3 linked regions of the Kluyveromyces lactis genome follow. The protein of the gene in region 1 purifies or fractionates together with the protein of each later gene. This does not show direct contact. Links are inferred from orthologs where the notes say so. Each region holds a gene or a part of one and is shown in the gene's direction. Other genes may lie near its edges.

Region 1 (2,983 bases):
ATTTCTAGTAGAACATGCGTTCATCCAGGTCAAAAACGTGCCAATTATCGGGGGTAACGTTATTAATAGATCAAACACTATGTTTGCATGCATCTTCACCAACAGATCGTTGGGCAAATTGTACCGTTTCCTTGCGTATTCCACCGTAGAGCTGTGTACCCAGTACATTAAGATCGGTCCGATCACAGGAAGCAACGAAAGTACCGTGGCCCAACCGATGCCCCAATCAATCCAGATACATCCACACCCGAGGAAGCATCGGTCGTCGTACCATGCTCGGTTCTGTAACCGTTTCCATGTCTTGGTTTCCTGTTTCGTGCAATATGCAGGCAACTTCCTTCGAACCCTTTTCCCATTACTTAGTTCCGAATAGAATGGATCCTTCACCGGTTGAAACTTTGATCCCATGAAATCATCATACTTTTCCATACCATAGTCCTGAGCACTAGACTCAGCCATACTAGTGACTACACCACCCATCTTCTCGTCGCTTGATTGCCCTTTACCGCTTCCTTTTTTTGTTTCTGTTCCAGTTCCGAGGTTATGTAACATGTAGCCATCAGAGTGGTTTGAAATTAATTCTATATTTAAAATCATGCGGTTCTTCGCTGTGAAGATGTCCATTGCTTGAAATTGACAAGCCGTTTGATGTTGACGCACCAGTCATCAAGAACCATGTTCTCTTGTGTTTGTGCCTTGCTGCCTTGCAACTGCTGTTTCCTCTCGTGTATACCAACGTTGGTTAACCCGATCGGAAACTTCCCTTTACCTATACTTAAAGTAAGGTATTCTTGCTTTGCTCGCACGTAATCTTCATCTACAATGGCATCTAATACTCTTGCCAGTTGGGATAATTGCAATTGACCGAGCTCCTGTTTCCTTAATGCCACTAGAAGTGGGAACAATGCCACCTTAACCCGTTTCAAAGGCACGACAGTATATTCAGATTCTTGGGTTTCCCATTCTTTAAGTATCTCGTGTATATACTCATTGCAGCTCTCGTTCAACGGTTTCTGTTGACTGTTGTACCTTTCCTCGACTGCATGACTCATGACGCCTGCTTTGATGAACGTAAATACACCGTAGGCAGAGGTGCCAATCCACTTGGTTAGTTTCTGTTTATTTTATCGTTGATGGCTAGCTGTTTTTGTCAGTTTTAAAGATTTATCGAATTGATAATTGAAACAACTTTAACAACTTAAAGCCACAACAGGAAGGCGGAAGGAAGACAAAAGCAAGCAGAGAATCCGGATAGAGGTACCTGTTAGGTCTCATATATCCAAGCCAATAGTTAAAAATCTAATCATGTCTGAATCCAGTGGTAAAGATTTGGTGGAAGAAGTCGGTGAAGAGGCGTTCGATGGTAACGATATTGAGAACAATGAGAAAAAGGTTTATGAGGAATCGTTAGACTTGGATCTATCCAACGCCAGGAAGAAGATTTGGCTTGTACGTCTGCCTAAGTTCTTAGCTGAAAATTGGAGAAACCGTACTGCATTGCATGGACAAGAATTGGGTAAAGTTAGGATTAATAATGCGGACCATTCGATCCAGTTGTTGTTGAATGAGGATGAGGACAACAAGGACATACCGCACAAATATGACTTAGAGTTGACCAAGAAAGAAGTCACGAACGAGTACGTATTCACTGAACAAAATTTGAAGAAATATCAGCAGTTTGCCAAGGAATTGGAGTCGAACCCCGAGTTGCAAAGACAGGCATACATAAGGAAACAAGAAAGAGAGGAAGAGATGAAGAAAAAACAGCAGCAGATGAAGCGTAAGTACAACAAGAGAAGGTTTCAGCACCGTGTCATGACGGATAGGGACGGTAGAGATAGATACATCCCGTACGTGAAGACTATTCCGAAGAAAACTGCAGTGACGGGGAAAGTGTACCACGAATGTCAAGTGATGCCCTCGATAGACGATCCAAATTACCATACAATTGTGGAACATAGAAGACAAATCGTTAGAAACATCCACAAACCAACGGTTACGGTGCTTGACCAAACTCCTGGTGTCACTATGAGTAACGCCGGTATGTCGATGAGATCCGACACTTCCAAGTTCTTAAAAGTTGGAAAGGAAAAGAAGAACAACGCAAGGGCTATCCGTTTGCCAAAGAAGGAACTTTTGGATCTATTGTTCAAGTTGTTTGATGAATACGATTATTGGTCCTTGAAAGGTTTGAAGGAGAGAACAAGACAACCAGAAGCATATTTAAAGGAATCGCTAGATCAAGTTGCTATGCTTGTGAAAAAGGGTCCGTATGCCTTGAAATATACTTTAAAATCGGAATATAAAAAGTTGAAGGAAGCTGAAAGAGCTGCTACGCTTGGTGAATTGGCACAACACGCTGATCCAGAACAACAGCAGCAGATTCAAGACCAATTTGATCAACAACAACAACAGGAGAACGAGCAAGAGGAGGAAGACTTGGAAGACGTGGAAATGGAGGATGTGTTGTAGAACCCTTCAAACATAGTATATATATATATATATATATATATATATACACATAATCATGCCCCACCGGTTATCTAGTAAATGAATGGATATCTTATTCATGATGCTGGCATGTCTAGTCCTGTGATGTATTCTTGTGACCTGAACCAATAGTAGGATTAAAGAATTCAAATCACGTGATTAACAAAGGACTGTCCATTGTTAAAATAACACCCATACACTCCAAACACTGAAAAATAAAAACCCACACATCCGGATACAAAACGAGAAAATTCTCAATTGGGTAGTATAATACTCAAAGAAACCCAAAAAATCTCTAAAAGCCAACCTCCTGACACCCACACACCATCAACTAAACTTTTCACCAATCTCATCGACTGTGCTCATTGAGTATTGTGCAATTGGCAAGCCAGTAAACGTTTAGTTTCGAACAACTTTCGACAGTTTTAACGTTTTAGATTTTAACATTTGTCGTTAATAGTGGTGTTTTGTATATGTCCATTTAGTGTTTTTT
Region 2 (2,595 bases), on another chromosome or scaffold:
AGACCGTCTTGCTGCTTAATGAAGCACGTCTATATTTCGGTGTGGAATGTATAACGGGATTCAAGTCCTGTCTCGTAAATATCTTGTTGAATTTAGGGACAATAATTATTGGAGAAGGTGGCCTTGACGACGGAAGTGAACTTGAGCCGCCACGCGTGCTCATGTATGCACCTGCAGTAGCGGGATACACAGAAGAATTTATGGAGCCAGCCATATATCCCGCAGTATTAATTCCAGGTTTCCTAAGCTGAGATGGTTTCGTTACCTGCTGTGGCGAAAGTTGACTGCCACCAGTGACAGCAACCGACTGCCTTCTTTGTGCATCATTATAGTTGGGAAACGGTTGCTTCTCATAAAGGAACGGATCAGGCCCTGCCGCACGCGCAGGTGGTATTACTAAAGATGAGTTTCTCCTTCTGAACTGTTGTGAGGATTCATCTACAGCGTTATCTTCTTCGTAAGTAGTGGGCAAGGGGAAGTTGGATTGCTTCCTCATAGTAGACCTCTGAGACTCAGGTATCTGGGGAATCTCTTGCCATGGGTTTTTGAATATCGATTGACGTGGCGACTGCATTTGGAAACCACCAGCCGCATTTCCGCCTTGTTGCTGCCCTGCATATATATTCCCGCCTGCATTGGAGCTACTCCCAGCTGGCCCATCAGGCGCAATCTCTGGGCCCTGATTCTGGGTATTTGCCTGCGTCTGAGAAAAGTTCTGGTTCTGATTCGAACTCGACGCTCCCTGCTGAGAAGCCATGAACGCAGGGTTCCAAAGGCTATTCTTATCCCCCATTTATTATATATCAGATTATAGTCAACGTCTAACCACGTTATTGCAGCAAAATATTAGAAAAGCCTCTCTTCCAACAAAGAAATGACCAATTCACAACTCAAAGTTTCAACGGAAATACCTTTTAAACGTTATATCGACTGAATAACCCTGAGTTTCGCTTAAAGAACTTATAGCAAAACAGTAACAGAAACAAAACCAGCTAAAGAATGTACGCCTTCCTATATTAAAAAACAGCTAAATTCGAATCTGGCTATACCTAATCACGATGAGTACCAAGTACATACAGCGCTGCCCTAAAAATAAGCCCTGGTGTCCTGTACAAACAAACAGCTTTGCCAAGATTCACTTTAATACCTTAAATACAGAGAACATTCATGTCATGAAGTCATAGGGCCAATATTCTGATGTTGAGTTTTCGCATAATTACCGTTAGGAAAAAAAATGGAAATTCAATTACGATTAAAACGAGAGGTAAACTAACTTTGTCACTCGAAACATCAACTGGAGTTACATTTATCTAAGTTGTACCGTTGTCAAAGTGGCTGATTACTGGAATAGCACTTTTTGTGATTACACTCGTCTACTTTTTTGGACCGCTCTTATAGATAACAGCTCGAATTTACCATGAATACATCTACATCCACTGTTCAAACCAAGAGACGTGGGTTGAAGAAGTTTGTTGAAGAAGAGAATGCTGCCACTTTACACTTGGGAGAAGAGTTTAATTTGAAGCAAATCAACCATCAGGGGCAGGAGGAAAACCTAGTGGCTTTAAATTTGAGTGAGTCTCGTTTGATTATAAAGGAAACGCTACAGAACCGTCGGAAATTATTCAAGACATGGGCAAGCAATGGTGCATCAAATAAGGACGATGACATGGATGATGAAGATAACGTCAATGTGCATACCCAAACACAGGAGAAAGAGTTACAGGATATAGATAGATTGCTTGAACAGACCACTGGTGGACAGAATCAAGCGTTGAAGCAGACCATGATATACCTAACGAATTTTTCACGTTTCCGTGATCAGGAAACAGTAACCGCTGTATCACAGCTTTTATCATCCACAGGGTTGCATCCATTCGAAGTGGCGCAATTGGGTTCTCTATCGTGCGAAGATGCAGATGAAGCCAAGACTCTAATTCCAAGTTTAGGAACCAAGATATCTGACGAAGATCTAGAAAGAATCCTAAAGGAATTATCGAATTTGGAAACTTTATACTAAAACCTATGTACTATATCTTATATATATCCCCGGTTTCACCTCTGCTCCATCATCTAATAAATAGTTTGCCGGCACCGTTTTTCCACCATCTCATCAAGCAACTGTTTGGGTGGATGGGAATATTAGATTCGCCGTTAGGATCACACATACAACGGAGCACTAATCGTGCTGATATGGACGTGGGACATGTTTCAAATGGAACATGGCTGTATCCAATTTCATCAAAGTGGTGGATTTCATTCTTGTCTAGAAGTAATGAGGCACCTATACTGTGCACGGGTGCATCACCCCAACGTTCATAATAAAACCCACCCTTGGAGTCCAAGTAATTGAAATACTGAAGATACTCGTCACTTCTAAAGAAATTTAGATCTCCAATTTCGAAATTGGACCAGAAATGACATAGATTATAGTCTGTATTCGAATCAACAACAGGGAAAAAACGTCCCACCATCGTGGTATCCGTCAAAAAGCTTAGACTGTTGTTAGGATGTAGAATTTCTGGATAAGTATCCATGAATTCCTCAACAGCATCCCATAATGTCGTTACCGTATCCTCATATTCAAAGATAGAT
Region 3 (4,354 bases), on another chromosome or scaffold:
CGTGATTGGAACAAGATTCAAGCCAGTGAAAAATTGAAACCGGTGGAAGTTGAACTACGTAGGATTGAAGAATTGACTGACGAAATTGTTGATGAATTCAACTACTTGAAGGGGAGAGAAGAAAGACTAAGAGACACCAACGAGTCCACCAACAGAAGAGTTAGAAACTTTTCTATCGCTGTCATCGTTGTTTTGGTCGCTTTGGGTGCATGGCAAGTAAACTACATGAAGAACTTCTTTAGAGCTAAGCACATTATTTAGAATGTTCGAATAGTTTCAATGCCTTGAATCTCAATACGATCTTCAAATATTGAATTGAAGAAACATACATCATATGGTGAGCCTTTTATACGTGTACAGTATCTATATATGGAAAATGGCATAATTTCTAAATCGGACGAGTAGAGGGGGAAAGGGATTATATTATGCCTAGACGGGTAGGTCTTTGTTTTTGCTAGAATTCTATGTTGATATGGCCACCAGTTACATTTATAAGTTTTGTACTAAGTTACTAGTGATATTCTTCCAAATGTTCCAAAGATTGACGTGTTTTTTAGGAAGTGAATTATTTAGTGGATTGCAATGATGCTAGTATCTTAATAAACCCATTTTACCAAGTAATTTGGCAAAGTCTAGGTAAGTGACAAATACCCTCTCGCCGTTCGTAGCCCAACTTACCATTGACAGGATAATATGTTGATCCATATCCACTTGAACAGCAGCCTTCTGGACATCTTTAACACTTATCACGTGCTTCCTTAGTGCAACCTTAGGGAACTGTTGCAATCTACCGGTATATTTTAATAGTAGTTCCCATTGTTTATCTATTATACTCTCGTTGTCCATGAAGATCAAGAGTCGATAAGTGACATCCAAGAGTTTTTCGAAATCTATGACGTCAATTCCATCCAAGCATAAGTCCTTGAATTCTAATAATCCGTACCATGATTTACTGATTTGTAATTCCGTATAAAAACTAGAAATATCAGCCCACTTGAATTCACCTTCTTCGGTGAAGCTTAAATATATCGATAGGACTTCATCTTCAATCTCGGTGGGCATTCTGGCCTCATTCCATCTGGTAATTGTGTCATAACTGACATCATTCTTTTTCCGCATAACTACATTATCTGGTCAGCAATGACTCATCGGTTAATATTGTCCTTAACGTAGCCAGAGCTGATGTTATATATTAAAGACTACATAAGGTACTAGCTGCCCGTTCGTTATGAAGTGATGCAGACTGATTCATCGGCTACTTAAGTACTTTTGAAATACTTAGGCGAGAGTTACCCTCTATTTGTGATCCTTGAAAAATTTCAATCTAAACTTCCCAATTTTCAATACAAAAATGGTAGTCCACGCTAAGTTGTAATGATGATCAGTATGCATTACAGTTCGCATTCACGATACAAAGCAACAGTCAGTAAGACGTCATGAGCGGTACTGCTGAGGAATCCGATAAAGCAGAGGCTGTTTCTGTACCTGAAACAGTTTCTGGGTCAGTTGAGAGTCAAGATAAGGAGCATAACTCTACTTCATCTTCGTCTGATTCTACAGATGTGGTTGGAGGCAAGAAAAGAACTATCGATGAAGTTGATGGGAGTTCTGAAAACAACTCTGCATCTGTCGATCAGTTAAAGGACGCTCCTACTGATTCTAAACCAAAGACAGAGGCTACTGAAGATAGTCCAATTAGGGGAAATCAAGGGAACAATCAAGAAAACAGTCAAGAAAACAAAGACGATGAAGATGATGAAGATGACAATGACGACGATGACAATGACGATGACGATGACGAAGATGAAGATGTCGAATCATATAGGAAGAAGCAACGTCGTGAAAGAAACAGATTCTTGGATATTGAAGCCGAAGTCAGTGAAGACGAAGACGACGAAGAAGATGAAGAAGATTCAGAACTAGTTCGTGAAGGTTTCATTACTCGCGGTGACGAAGAAGACGAAGAGGATCGTGGTGGTAGAGTTGATGACAGACTGCATAGAGAATTAGATCAAAATCTTCAAAAAACTGCGGATGAAGACATGCACAAGATCGCTGAAGACTTCAAGAAACGTTATGGTCGTGACTCTTCCAAAGATTACCGTGTACAAACTCAAGGTGGGTATGTACCTCAGAGGTTTATGTTACCAAGTGTTGATACTGCTATTATTTGGTCCGTTCGTTGTAGACCAGGGAAGGAGAAAGAACTAGTGAGAAAGTTGCTAAATAAGAAGTTTAACTTGGATAAATCTATGGGCTCTAAAAAATTAAAGATTCTGTCCATCTTCCAAAGAGACAATTACACAGGAAGAATCTATATCGAAGCTCCAAAACAATCTGTTATCGAAAAATTTGTCAACGGTGTTCCAGATGTCTATTCTAATCAAAAGCTTTTGATTCCCGTGCAAGAACTACCTTTACTATTAAAGCCTACCAAGTCAGATGAAGTGAGACTTGATGTTGGTTCTTATGTTAGAATTAAAAGGGGTATTTATAAGAATGATTTGGCAGTCATTGATCAAATTAGTCAGAACAACTTAGAAGCTCTATTAAAGATTGTACCCAGATTAGACTACGGTAAAAATGACGAAATCGACCCAGATACAAATCAGAGAAAGGCAAAGAGAGCAACGTTTGCTAGTAGGCCTCCTCCTCAATTATTTAACCCTACTATGGCATTAAGGTTAGACCAAGCCAACTTATTCAAAAGAGATGACAGGCACTTCACTTACAGGAAGGAAGATTATGTTGACGGTTATCTTTTCAAATCTTTTAAGATTCAGTATCTTGATACAAAGAATATCCAACCTACGGTGGAAGAATTATCAAGGTTCGGCAGTAAAGAAGGTGATGTCGATCTAGCAGCTATTGCTCAAACTATGAAAAAAGCTCAAGCTTCTAAAGCTATGTTTCAACCAGGTGACCGTGTTGAAGTGTTGACCGGGGAACAACGTGGATCTAGAGGTGTGGTGACTAGAAGTTCTAAAGACGTCATCAGCGTTAAACTATCGGGCTTTTCAGATAAATCATTAGAGTTCCCAATTGCATCTCTAAGAAAAATTTTCGAACTTGGTGACCATGTCACAGTAATAGCTGGTGAACATGAAGGTAACGCTGGTTTGGTTCTTTTGGTGCAGAACGGTCAAGTCACATTTGTTTCTGACCAAACTAGAGAAAATTTGACAATCTCTGCGAATAACTTGAGTAAATCTATGGATTCTACTCCGACATCAAGCGAGTACGCTCTACATGACATTGTTGAGTTAAGTGCCAAAAACGTGGCATGTGTGATCCAGGCTGGACATGATATTTTCAAGATTATTGACGACTCCGGTAAAGTGGCTACTGTTACTAAAGGCTCAATTCTTGCCAAGATCAATGTAGCAAGAGCGAAAGTAGCTGCTGTCGATGGTAATGGTAGAGAAATAAAAATTGGCGATGTAGTAAGAGAAAAGATCGGTTCCCGTAGAGAGGGACAAGTACTCTACGTTCAAAACCAACATATTTTCATTAGATCGAAAACAATAACGGAAAATGCCGGTGTTTTCGTTGTTAATCCAATGAATGTCGAGGCTGTCGCCTCAAAAGAAAACTTGATGTCGTCAGCATTGGATTTATCTAAAATAAATCCAAATATTGCGTCTAAGATGGGACCACCACAAACTACTCAGCAGACGCGGTTAGTTGGCCGTGACGTCGCTTTGAACAAAACTGTTAGGATACGTTCTGCGGGATACAAGGGGCAGTTGGGTATTGTCAAAGACGTCAATGGAGATAAGGCTACTATTGAATTGCACTCCAAAAATAAGCATATTACAATAGACAAAAGAAAACTTACTTACTTCAGTCATGAAGGTGGTGAAGGTATAACATACGATGAACTTGTTAGTAGACGTGGTAGAACTCCACATACCAGATTGGGCCCAAGCTATGTCAGTGCACCAAGACACATGGCTGCCGGTGGTGCGGTGGCAACGAACACTCCGCAACAACTTCCTGGTGGAATGACTCCTGGTTGGAATGCATTTGATGGCGGTAAAACTCCTGCGGTTGGCCAGAACGGAGGAACTTCATCCTGGGGTGGTGCTTCGACATGGGGCGGACAAGGCCCTGGTGGTGCTTCTGCCTGGGGTGGAGCTGCTGGAAACACTTCCACCTGGGGTGGGCAAGGTGCTACATCAACTTGGGGTGGTGCGTCCACTTGGGGTAATAAATCTAGTTATGGAGGCGCCTCTTCTTGGGCAGCAAGCGGAGAATCAGGAGCAGCTTCTGCCTGGGGCGGTGGCAATAAATCAAGCTATGGAGGTACTTCTACCTGGGGTGGTAACCAGGGAGGTGTCTCTGCCTGGGGTGG

Evidence for each region.
Region 2: the proteins of TFG2 (region 1) and RPB4 purify together in Saccharomyces cerevisiae (affinity purification with mass spectrometry; 4 studies listed by BioGRID, with this or other methods). This does not show direct contact. The link is inferred for Kluyveromyces lactis from reciprocal best matches to the Saccharomyces cerevisiae genes TFG2 and RPB4.
Region 3: the proteins of TFG2 (region 1) and SPT5 purify together in Saccharomyces cerevisiae (affinity purification with mass spectrometry; 3 studies listed by BioGRID). This does not show direct contact. The link is inferred for Kluyveromyces lactis from reciprocal best matches to the Saccharomyces cerevisiae genes TFG2 and SPT5.

What each region holds. Positions count from the first base shown.
Region 1 is NC_006039.1:1,607,417-1,610,399, forward strand, and holds TFG2 (transcription factor IIF subunit TFG2), read left to right. Parts: upstream 1-1,305; coding exon 1,306-2,472; downstream 2,473-2,983. Other genes in the region: KLLA0_C18161g (uncharacterized protein), read right to left, coding at 1-552; mRNA splicing protein PRP18, read right to left, coding at 594-1,052. UniProt on the Saccharomyces cerevisiae protein: TFIIF is a general transcription initiation factor that binds to RNA polymerase II.
Region 2 is NC_006037.1:539,743-542,337, reverse strand, and holds RPB4 (DNA-directed RNA polymerase II subunit RPB4), read left to right. Parts: upstream 1-1,417; coding exon 1,418-2,020; downstream 2,021-2,595. Other genes in the region: serine/threonine protein kinase YAK1, read right to left, coding at 1-793; KLLA0_A05775g (glycosyltransferase family 15 protein), read right to left, coding at 2,070-2,595. UniProt on the Saccharomyces cerevisiae protein: DNA-dependent RNA polymerase catalyzes the transcription of DNA into RNA using the four ribonucleoside triphosphates as substrates. Component of RNA polymerase II which synthesizes mRNA precursors and many functional non-coding RNAs.
Region 3 is NC_006038.1:68,435-72,788, reverse strand, and holds the start of SPT5 (transcription elongation factor SPT5), read left to right. Parts: upstream 1-1,436; coding exon 1,437-4,354. Other genes in the region: ERV25 (Erv25p), read left to right, coding at 1-261; RAD33 (Rad33p), read right to left, coding at 589-1,119. UniProt on the Saccharomyces cerevisiae protein: The SPT4-SPT5 complex mediates both activation and inhibition of transcription elongation, and plays a role in pre-mRNA processing.